3 linked regions of the Neurospora crassa OR74A genome follow. The protein of the gene in region 1 binds, or shares a complex with, the protein of each later gene. Links are inferred from orthologs where the notes say so. Each region holds a gene or a part of one and is shown on either strand. Other genes may lie near its edges.

Region 1 (3,748 bases):
GGAATTGTCGTCGACGGTCTTCTCGATATGCATTGAGGGTGGAAAGGCTCGATGAGATGTGGTTTTTACTGTCAAGAAGGAGAGAGAGAAAGAGAAAAAAAACAGAAAAGAGAAAAAAGAAGAGAGTTGTGACTGGGGGAGCGTGCGAAGAGAGAGGTCGACAATGGCAACAATGAAATGGAGTTCCGTGGGCAGCAGAAGTTAAAATAAAATGGAGCCCGGACTCTGCACCTGCAGTGAATTAGGATGGGCCTGGACCGGGTTTGTGACCTTGGGTATTACCTATGCACAATTTAGTACCCCTAGGGACTGGAATGCACTAGCCGGGCAGGGGGCCGCGTCCGCCTCACCCAAATATCCCGCCATTGAGCCAACCACGATAAAGAGAAAAGCGTTCACATCATGCGTCACGGTCTGGGCAGGCCGGGCAGGCCGGGCAGGCGAGCAACTGAAAGGGCGGAAAGACCAGCTGGATTGGTCTGGTGAACTTAAAGGAAAAGGAGGAATTGGCGGGCGTTCCATGTCCCAGGAGGAATTGGCGAGAGCACGTGAAAATCGGGTGAGAGACATCAGACATACGTCTCACCCGCATTAAAGGGAATGCACCATCGGCCATTTTCCAGGCTTTTTCCACACTAGCTTTCAACCTGAAAAAAGCCCCATGTTGCTCTCCATGTCCAGAAATGAACCTCCAATACCACACGGCAGGTGTCATGTGTGTATAGGTAGTGTAGTGTACCAAGGCCGCTGGATGCCGACCCCGATCTTCAGTTTTGACAAGTCTGGGGAATCCGAACAGCCGGGGCTCGATTGGCGGTCATTAAACCGCATTGATCGACGGGCTGGGAAGGGGGAACTGGCCGCACCGTTTGTGATCGCGCTTCCATGTCACCTCGGACCAAACCTACCGTGTGCGAAGTGGGTATTAACGAATGTTGACACCAACAAGGAATCTATCACATATCACATGAAACTTTGAAATTTCAAGTACCTCTTTGAATGATCGGTGAAAGCTTCATGGCGATTCGTTGGTTCACCTTAAGACGAGGTGCCCGTGGTGCTAGGACCGAGATGAGCGCATTCAGGTGGGACAGCTTGTTGAGGGTTAGGGTCGAAGATGCGCCGGAAATTTTAGTGGAGCTCCCGCAACAGCAACGGCGCCAGCATTGTAAACTTCCCTGTGATTGCATCACCTGCTATTTCACGACAGCAAGCAAAACATCGAGCCCTCACATCAAACGGTCCTTTAGCAACCACAAGCCGGACTCGAATCACCTGGCTTTACTCGCGTTCAAGTGTCCAGAAGATTTAGCAAACGAACAAACACCGAAAGTTTAGCACTATGCATCCGGCGCGTAGAGCCTACGTGGAGGAGGCCGAGCCTGAGGTAAGACCATGCTCTATATGCGCCCCTCGCATCATTGAAGGCACCTGCTCAACATTGCAAACAGAGCCCGGACTGACCCCCCCTGAAGCAGGATCGCGGAGGCATGGATCTAGACTCCGTCCGTAAGTCCCCAAAACTCTTGTATGGCTTCCAACCCATGACTGATTTGCGTGTTAGCCCTCGATCGCGACTACGACATCCCCGGTGCTGGGGCTGGTATTGCCCCAGAGAAGGCCTCCGTTCTTCTATCGCAGTTTGAACGAAAACGATTAGCGGCTTCGATTGCTGTTCCTACCGACGATGGCCGGGTACGAGCCAAATTGCGAGAGATGGGCGAGCCTGTCACCCTCTTCGGCGAGGGTCCGGCAGACAGACGCGACAGATTACGAGAACTCATGACACAACAAGCCGAAAAGGGAGGTCAGGAAAGTGCCGATGTGGAGATGCGGGACGCCGAAAACGAGGAAGATGAAGCCGGCGACCAAGAGGAGGAATTTTACACTACTGGAAGCCCGGAACTGCTCCAGGCCCGCATCGACATCGCTCACTACTCAATCCCGAGAGCTAAGAAGCGCATCGAGTTCCAGAAGAAGGAGTCCACCATCCCACTGCGGACACATGTCAAACACCGAAAAGAGATCAAGGAGAAGCTTCAAGGGTTTGAATTGCAAGGCAGTCAAACGGCAGGAGAGCGGCACATCAGCATGACAAGGATCTCGCCTGATGGAAACATGGTCGCAACTGGCAATTGGGGCGGACAGGTCAAACTCATCGAAATCCCAACCCTTGAGCCAAGGAAGACTTTGAGGGGCCACACCAACAAAGTCAGCGGCCTATGCTGGATGCCTGGAGCTACACTGCCGGAGCGCAATGTTTCTCCCGACACAGTCAATCTCGCTTCCGGAGGAGCGGAAGGCCAGATTCATCTCTGGTCTTTGAACCAAGACACGCCTTTGAGAACTCTCTCAGGACACTCGCAACGAGTATGTCGTGTAGAGTTCCATCCATCGGGCAAGTATCTGGCTTCTGCCTCAGAAGACACGTCATGGAGGATGTGGGATGTTGAAACCGGCACCGAGCTCCTTCTCCAGGAAGGTCACTCTCGCGGTGTATACGCTGTCAGTTATAACAGTGACGGATCGCTACTCGCTAGCGCGGGTTTGGACAGTATCGGAAGAATCTGGGATCTGCGGACAGGACGGACTGCCATGATTCTAGATGGGCATCAGGACGGCCATATCAAGCCTATTTATGGTTTGGACTGGGGCTCGGACGGTTACAGGGTGCTCACGGCGTCTGCTGATGGTTGGATCAAATGCTGGGACGTTAGAAAAGTGGAAAGAATTGGAGGCATTGGTGCCCATACAAGTGCAGTGGCCGACGTGCGGTGGTTCAAGGGGTTGGATGACCCGTTGGAAGGAGTGCCTCCTGGCGAAGATGAAAAGGGAATGCAAATTCCCAAAAAATCCGGCACCTTTATGGTGTCGGCAGGCTTTGACCACAAGGTGAACATATTTTCCGCTGACGACTGGGCCTTGGTTCAGTCTCTCAGCGGCCACACAGGGCCTGTTGCGAGTGTTGACGTTAGCCGGGATGGAAAATGGATTGTAAGCGGTGGCCATGACCGGACGGTCAAACTTTGGGGAAGAAACGACTCCAGGAGCTTGTATGATTCCTGAGCAGACATCAATCATGTGCGCGACAAGAATCTTGTCGTTGCCTCTCGCATAGGAGCAACACACCAAGGAGGGCGTTCAGCAAGCGACAGGCCAGGGCTTGGCTTACCGCTCCACGAGAGACAGTATCGGCAGATAGATTGCATAGAAGCCGTCTCAATTTGTAGATCAACAACCACAACTGGGTGCCCATAACAAGCTGCCTTTGGTACATGCGTCTGAGTTGCCTTGTGGTTGCGTTTCACTGACCCGGTAAGGATAAGGGGTGTCACCTGACCGCGAAAGTGGGCCTGTTGAGATTCCTTCTCCCTTCTTTTCTGCAGTGACGCGGGCAGGGTTGGGCGGGACACCTGCCGCTCGCGTTGGTTGGCGTTGGTAAAGTCACCCTGGCACCCTGGGAAATGGTGACGCACGGTCCATCGTGCGAAGCTTGGCTTTCTGATAAAGGGCGATAAAACAATGGCAGCAGACGCCATCACCGGGAACTTGTAGCGTTGGTCCGTTTTCGAACCTTTGACTTCTTCGTTTCTCGCATTTCTGCATTTTCAAGTGGTTTTATCCCCAGCCGGTATTTATCGCGAGAGACGTCATTCACAATACCCTCAACTCACAGCATCCGGGCAGCTCAAGTCCCCATGCGCATCAACCCGCTCAAAGCTGTCTGAAGGGCGACACGGGGAGGATT
Region 2 (3,748 bases), on another chromosome or scaffold:
CAAAAGATCAGCGGAATTATCCCAAACCAGGGAAAACGTCTGAAGCCGCCTGGTTTCCAAGAGATCTTACCTGCGGAGTCATTTGATGAGTGTTTGATATGAGAAGACATCGGGTTTTTGATCAGCGGCTCCATGACTATCACATCAAGCTCTCCTGTGATGGACGAGCAAGAAGGTCTGGACCGAATATGTGAGTGGTAGTAAAGGGTGAAGAAGCGAGCTAGATGCCCATACTTATGAGATTTAGTCAACAGGAGGGTCTCGAAATTGCACATTGGTGGTTCGAGTGGGCGGCGCTGGAGTAGCTTTCCTTCAGTCGCCATGAGTGCTTTGAGACAGTGTATGCAGATTGGAAGCACCTTGTGTACAGACGTTCAAGTTGTGCGAACTCGGATCCCGCTGTATACTCAATCAGGGACGTGGTACTGAATAAATATACCTAGGTAGACGGCCGGCAAGGAGCTAAACCCAGCCTAAATTCATTGCAGAATAAAAAGGCATAGGCTCAGTCATCGTGTGCCGTTGTACAGCATGTTTATTGTAAACAGGAAAACCTGTGTTACGAAGTCTCGGTGAGGGAGTATATTCGCCTTGCATGGTGCCGCCTTTGCGGTTAACCTGACCGTGAAGGTTGAATGGTGCGAGGCATAAATGCTGTAGTTGCCGCACCTGCACAGAAAGAATTTAAATGGGAGGTTGAAGTTGGACATTGTTGGCTAGGCTGATCGCAGGCATTGCCATAGATGAATAATGCATTTCCCTTAGTGATGCTGCAACACGAAGAGCAGACGAGCATCTGGGTGAAGTTGTCCCACTTCACGCCTCACTGAGCCAGGCCATTTCAGTTGCCGACGGCAGGAGCGCTGAAATATCGTCATAGTTGTCTTCTATGGCCATCATGGCTCCGCTGACTGGTGATGGTGAAGACGGGAAAGGAGGTAGATGAATGATAGGAGGAAGTAAACAACGAAAGTGGAATTAAGCCGCCAAGCACTGGTGGAGTCGTAGACTGTTTACTTGGCACTGTGCCTGCCATTCGTTCGTCAAATGCCAAGAGCGCCTGGACCAGTGGCAGGCAGGCTTCAGTGCCCTGGAGTTCGACTTCCACTTCGACTTGCAGCCTGCCGGTATTTTGCCGCTAACTCAAATGTTTGGAGCTACCTCTACGGCCACCACGGTCACAATCCTAGCCACCGCGTCTCTACAATACATCACGAATACAGAAAACCGCCACCATGTCTAGACGGGATTTCCTCAGTCAACCCGCACCCGAGAACTACGTCGCCGGTCTCGGTCGTGGTGCCACGGGTTTCACTACACGATCCGATCTTGGTCCCGCGCGCGAGGGTCCTAGTGAAGACCAGATCAAGGCGGCCGTCGCGAAGAGATCTGCACAGCTAGGTCTGACCGAGGCCAAGGACGACGACAATGAAGACGATGGCCGCTATCAGGATCCCGACAACGAAGTCGGCTTGTTCGCCGGCGGCATATACGAGAAGGACGACGAGGAGGCAGATCGGATATGGAAAGAGGTAGACGACAGGATGGCGAAGCGGCGACAGAAGCAAAGGTTAGTCATTACCTCGTATACATCACTTGACATCCTACATAAATTCACAAAACACCCTTCTACCCCTTCCCCAACACTTTCAAGCAAGCATGTGGTTTATCGGTCAAGATAGATGAAAAGCAGAGTACCGACAAGAAATCGCATTTTCACAGGGAAGCACGAGAAGAAGCCGAACGATTAGAGTACGAACGAAAGAACCCCAAAATCCAACAGCAATTCGCCGGCCTCAAACGAGCGCTCGAGACGGTCACCGACGAAGAATGGGCAAACCTACCAGATCCCAAGGACCTTACCGGCAGGACCAAGAGGGCACGCCAGGCTCGCATGGAGCGCTTCTACGCCGTTCCCGACAGTGTCCTCGCTGCCGCGCGAGATTCCGGCCAGTTCGGTACCACCGTTGCAGAAGACGGCACCGCCACCGAAGGGGTCAACAAGGATGGCACAGTTACAGATTTCGCAAAGATCGGTGCGGCTCGCGACAAGGTGCTGAGGGCGCGCTTGGAACAGCAATCACAGTCGAGTAGCGTGGCCACGGCGGGAAGCGCGACGAGTATCGACCCCAAGGGCTACCTGACATCGCTGTCGAGCATGCAGGGTGCGGAACAAAGCATTGGAGACATTGAGCAGTTCAGGAAGATGCTCAAGTCGGCTGTCGACTCGAACCCCAAACAGGCAGCCAGTTGGATTGCTGCAGCGAGATTGGAAATCGCGGCGGGAAAGCCTGGTGCTGCCCGCAGCTTGATTGCCAAGGGCTGCGAACACTGCCCGAAGAGCGAGGATATTTGGCTGGAAAACATTCATTTGAACGACAACCGGAACGCCAAGGTCATTGCGGCACAGGCTATTCAAGCCAACCCACACTCGGTCAAGCTTTGGGTGGAAGCGATGAAGCTGGAAAACGACCCTAGATCAAAGAAGAAGGTTATCCGGAGAGCTCTCGATCATAACCAAGAGTCCGAGGCGCTATGGAAGGAGGCTGTCAACCTCGAGGAGGACGTCGAAGACGCCCGCATTCTACTAGCCAAGGCGACGGAGCTTATCCCGGAGTCGCTCGACCTCTGGTTGGCACTGGCCCGTCTCGAGACTCCCGAAAACGCCCGCAAGGTTCTCAACAAGGCCGTCAAGAAGCTTCCCAACTCGCACGAACTCTGGATCGCCGCCGCTCGCCTGGAAGAACAACTAGGCGAAGGCAAGAAGCGGCCCGTGATGAAGAACGCCGTCAAGTTCCTCGCCAAGCAGAACGCCATGCCCAAGCGCGAGGAATGGATCGCCGAAGCAGAAAAGTGCGAAGAGGAAGGCGCCGTCATCACTTGCAGCAACATCATCGAAGAGACGCTTGGCTGGGGTCTCGACGAGGACGATGACCGCAAGGAGCTCTGGATGGAAGACGCGCGCGCCTCCATCAACCGGGACAAGTTCGCCACAGCGCGCGCCATCTACGCCTACGCCATCCGCGTCTTCCCCAACAGCAAATCGCTCTACACGGCCGCCATCGACCTGGAGCGCAACCACGGCAGCAAGGAAGACCTCTGGCACGCGCTCGAAAAGGCCGTCGAGGCCTGTCCGCACTACGAAGTCTTCTGGCTCATGCTCGCGCGCGAGAAAGCCGCCGAGGCGGGCGTCGACGAGGCACGCCTCGTCCTTGCCCGCGCCTTCAAGCAGAACCCGGACAGCGAGGACATCTGGCTGGCGGCCGTCAAGCTCGAAGCCGACAACGGTTTCATCGACAAAGCCCGCGAACTCCTCAAGACCGCGCGCCAGAATGCGCCCACCGATCGCGTGTGGATGCGCTCCGTGGCGTTTGAGCGTCAACAAGGCGTCAACGAGGCCGCTTTGGATCTCGTCCAACAGGCCCTACAGCTCTTCCCTTCCAAGCCCAAACTCTGGATGATGAAGGGCCAAATCTACGAAGACCTCGGCCAACTTGGTCCTGCGCGGGAAGCCTACAGCACCGGCGTGCGCGCCGTCCCTTCGTCCATCCCGCTCTGGCTTCTGTACTCTCGTTTAGAAGAAAAGGCCAACAATGTCGTCAAGGCGCGCTCGGTCCTCGACCGCGCCCGACAAGCCGTGCCCAAGTCCCCGGAGCTATGGACGGAACTCATCCGCGTCGAGCGGCGCGCGGGCAACTTGAACCAGGCCAAGTCGCTCATGGCGCAAGCGTTACAGCAGATGCCCAAA
Region 3 (3,748 bases), about 1.5 Mb from region 1:
CGTGATGCGTTTTCGGTCGTCGTTGTCGGAGTGGTCACTATCGTCGAGTGCGATGAAATCGTGTTCCTTGGCAAGGCGCGCGCGCCGCTCTTTGCGCTCGCGGATCTCGGCTTCGGTGAGGACATGGGCTGCTGGGGCATCGCCAGTGAGCGCTAGGGGCATGTCGCGGGATTGAACAATCATGGCGCCGTCAAGCTCAGAGGGGTCGAGGTCCATGGCGTCGCCCGTTGTCCCGGGCGCGGCAGATGCCTCCGGCAACGGTGCGCTGTGGGTTTTGAGGCTGTCGTCGTCATCGTCGTCGATGATGCTTAGCGAGGCGAGATTCTGTGGTGTGGCTGGCGTGGAGCTTTGGAGTTCTTCAAGGTATTCTTTGCTGTACCGAGGCTTCTCTTCGTCGGCGCCAAATGTGCCGAATCGTGCGGTCAGGGCGGACTTGCGAAGCGCGTTCTTCTCGGCAACTCGTTGGCTCAGCGACTTTTTGCTTGGGGCGCTGACCACGTCGCTGCTGGCAGTTGTTGTCGTATCATTGCCGCCATCTTCCGTGTCGCCCTCGCTGGCTCCGAATGATAGTTTTGAGATGCGCTTCTTCTTGCTGGAGACTGAGCGGCCGAAACCGGGCCGTACTACGAGCGGCACACCAGTGTCCTCCTCGGCTTCTGTTACCTCGGGTGCCGTACTTGTGCTGGTTGACGTAGGTTGGATTGCGTCGCCGCTGGTTTCTTGTGGATTATCGTTACCGTCGTTGATCTTGATCGTTCTTCGTAGTGACGAAGATTTAGTAGGCTTGCTGCGCCCAAACTTGGTCGGTCCTTGCGGTACTGGTTCTGTTCGAAGGCGTATCAGCTTGCTTGTTCTTTGGTTTGGTATCAGCACTGAGATTTTCTATGCTGGAAAGGGATGGGCATGGCCATATAGCAACTTACGTTCGTTCTTCGGCTCCTCTCCTCCAAGCACCGTAGGAAGGTCGCCATCCTCATCGTCAAAGGTCTGGATAATGCGTGGCTTGCGCTTTCCAAAAGAGCTCATTTTTGTGATGATCGACTTGAGTAAAGTGTAGAATGGAAGTAGGTTGTCTGACAGGGAGTTTGTAATACAGTGATGTAGTATTGAGGCGGGCGTGTTGTTTACAGGTAAGTTTGTAGTGCAAAAAGGTGTCCAGACAGCTAGGAAGCTTCGAAATGCACCCTGGAGAATGACGCTGGTGGGCGACTGGATGTCACCACTGCACTGAACACTGCAATCACCCAAAGACGGGCAACGCGAATTGCGGTTTCTTATCTTATCAGTGTCCCCACGTGATGGCCTGGCGGCCGAAAATCACTGGGGATGGTCGCGATTGCACGCGCTGCACAAGGCCCGCCTTCCAGGTTGTTTCAGTGGAGAGTTCCCAGCCAGAACGACGCCATTGCCATTCATTGCAGCAACTCTCTCGAGACCATCCCAGACAACCAACACAACCTCAAGATACAATGGCGCCCGCACAACCTGAACTGAAGAAGGTAAGAACTTACTCTTGGAGAATTGCCTTTCACGCTGAATGGCAGCTGGCTGGTCGAGACTATGCCATTGTCGCATCTCGAACTCCATGTTATTGTTTGTTTAGTATGGTGTAGTGAGCTAACCGACCACTTTCCAACCAGTACCTCGACAAGAGGCTCTTCGTCCAACTCAACGGCAGCCGCAAGGTCATTGGTGTTCTCCGTGGCTACGATGTACGAGATCTCCCCTTTACGAATTCGAACATGATGATTGACGGTTCGCGACGTCATAGGTCTTCTTGAACATTGTTTTGGACGATGCTGTTGAGGAGAAGGATGGTGGTGAGAAGGTCAAGCTTGGCATGGTGGTATGTTTATCATTGTAGAAAGGTGCTGACGTGTCTCCTGCTGACGAATGTGCACACAGACCATTCGTGGTAACTCCGTTGTGATGATGGAGGCTCTCGAGAGAATCGGCGGCGATGAGAGGGGAGGACAGCGCGGCTAATCAACAATCATCTTCTCGCAACACGATAAAACGACCCTGCGCATCTACAAACGCCTACATCAAAAGGCGAGGCATCGGAATAAGCGGATGGCAATTGACGGGATTTGACTATATACCAAGGCGATTTACACTTTACGACGACATCTACAGTGTTCCACGCGGTCTTGGACGGTGAAAAGCTAGGTGGGTTGGCTGGTACGGCGTTCAGTTTCACACGAGGCATGTATTCGGGAAAGCTGCATTATCTTCAACTTAGAAAGGGAAACATCTGCGGCGGTGGTCGAAGAAAAGATACCCAAAGGATTTTTTTGTTTTTCATCACGTACAGCTCTTCTCCGACAACAGCTGCTTCCACGTCTTCTCGTCATAACCGTCCACCATGCGGTCGCCGTACATCCGCACCCAGCCTCGAATCCCGCCCGTCATGACCTGCGACTGAAGATCGCCGCCTACTTCGTTGATATAGTCTTGCATCCAGGCGGCACATCGAGGGCCCCGACCAGCGGAGGAGCCTGGGGGAAGAAGCATCGGTGTTAGAGAGGGTCGGCGGTAGAGGTACGAGTTCAAAAGAGCATAGGATTGATTGGACTCTGTCCCAAGAGTCAATGACAGAGAAAGTCAAACACGTACCACAATAGAAGACCACCTTTTGGATCCCGGCCTGTTTGCACAAAGCGTACAAGCTCTTGCGCGTGGGGAAGAAGCTGTGGGCGGGCAGGTTGATTGATGAGCTGACAGTTCCCCCGGCGCAGTCTGTCCGGCGACAATCGACAAGCAGCAATCTGCGCGATTGGGGCATGTCATCGACATGTTCTTGCTGCTCAAGAAGCTCGAGGACAGTCTGGGGCTCGATATGGACCGGCGTCGAAGTTGGCTCTGGAAATGCTGCCCACCACGGTGTACCATCCTCGCGCCTAGCCATGCGCAAGCAGTGTTCGTGAACGTGTATCGTCATGTTGAGGCCGTTGCTGAGTTGGTTTCTCATTGACTGATTTCTTAGGTTAAGCGGAAGAAATGTACCGTTGATGCATTGTCCGGTATATGAAGGGCAGTCAGGGGTAAACTCTTTGTTTGCCACACTGGATTGGGGCGGCTCTGAGATCTAGTCACATCTTTCAGCAAGCCACGCCGCCAATACTCATCTCGCGGGACATGTCCTCGGCAGTCACGTCCTATCATAAATCACTTGTCTCGTACGATCGGATCCTCTGATGCCGTAGATGGGATACCGCATCCGGAGGTAGTCCTTCCTATCCTATTACTCCATGGAGTTTTTCAGGAGATCGCGGCTAAGGGGGGACGACAAGATGATTTCTTCACCAGCTCATCAACGCGACATACTGCCTGGTCTCGTCGCTTCTATGCAATTTAGTAACCATGAGCATGTTATTTTTCTTATTACCCATATTCATGCCCCTCGCCATTTACCCGTAGATAACTGATAGCTCCGACATCTTGGTTTACTCGGCCCGGCATATAGGGGGATATCACATAACGAATTGTTGAGGTGTGTAAGTTGCAGCACCAGGACACCTGCGACAAAGCGCACCAATCAATATACATGTCGTTGTATGGAAGATTGATAAAAGGTTAAACCACGGCGTTTATAAGGTATACAGTAGCAAGACGCTCCCTCCAACAGCCCAGCGACACCTGAGAGCTATTCTGATTTATACGTCACGGCGTAACTTCCACCAAAGAATGCCCACATCTCCCAAATCAGTCTGTGCTCGCTTCGTTGTTCCATTCATTCATCATAGTA

Evidence for each region.
Region 2: NCU11251 (region 1) and NCU04606 share a complex: the UniProt entries of both Saccharomyces cerevisiae proteins name them as parts of the U4/U6-U5 tri-snRNP complex. The link is inferred for Neurospora crassa OR74A from reciprocal best matches to the Saccharomyces cerevisiae genes PRP4 and PRP6.
Region 3: NCU11251 (region 1) and NCU09880 share a complex: the UniProt entries of both Saccharomyces cerevisiae proteins name them as parts of the U4/U6-U5 tri-snRNP complex. The link is inferred for Neurospora crassa OR74A from reciprocal best matches to the Saccharomyces cerevisiae genes PRP4 and SMX2.

The regions. Positions count from the first base shown.
Region 1 is NC_026501.1:4,871,922-4,875,669, reverse strand, and holds NCU11251 (pre-mRNA splicing factor), read left to right. Parts: upstream 1-1,185; 5' UTR 1,186-1,342; coding exon 1,343-1,387; intron 1,388-1,451; exon of another isoform or gene 1,452-1,475; coding exon 1,476-1,509; intron 1,510-1,564; coding exon 1,565-3,066; 3' UTR 3,067-3,262; downstream 3,263-3,748. UniProt on the Saccharomyces cerevisiae protein: Involved in RNA splicing. Is required for the association of U4/U6 snRNP with U5 snRNP in an early step of spliceosome assembly.
Region 2 is NC_026505.1:1,528,125-1,531,872, forward strand, and holds the start of NCU04606 (pre-mRNA splicing factor), read left to right. Parts: upstream 1-1,142; 5' UTR 1,143-1,235; coding exon 1,236-1,570; intron 1,571-1,682; exon of another isoform or gene 1,683-1,722; coding exon 1,723-3,748. UniProt on the Saccharomyces cerevisiae protein: Participates in pre-mRNA splicing. Part of the U4/U5/U6 tri-snRNP complex, one of the building blocks of the spliceosome.
Region 3 is NC_026501.1:6,357,873-6,361,620, reverse strand, and holds NCU09880 (small nuclear ribonucleoprotein SmG), read left to right. Parts: upstream 1-1,355; 5' UTR 1,356-1,469; coding exon 1,470-1,499; intron 1,500-1,640; coding exon 1,641-1,712; intron 1,713-1,771; coding exon 1,772-1,846; intron 1,847-1,905; coding exon 1,906-1,986; 3' UTR 1,987-2,304; coding exon of another isoform or gene 2,305-2,498; 3' UTR 2,499-2,616; coding exon of another isoform or gene 2,617-2,941; 3' UTR 2,942-3,245; downstream 3,246-3,748. Other genes in the region: NCU09879 (hypothetical protein), read right to left, coding at 1-824, 924-1,026; NCU10125 (hypothetical protein), read right to left, coding at 2,305-2,498, 2,617-2,941; NCU09881 (hypothetical protein), read right to left, coding at 3,734-3,748. UniProt on the Saccharomyces cerevisiae protein: Plays a role in pre-mRNA splicing as a core component of the spliceosomal U1, U2, U4 and U5 small nuclear ribonucleoproteins (snRNPs), the building blocks of the spliceosome.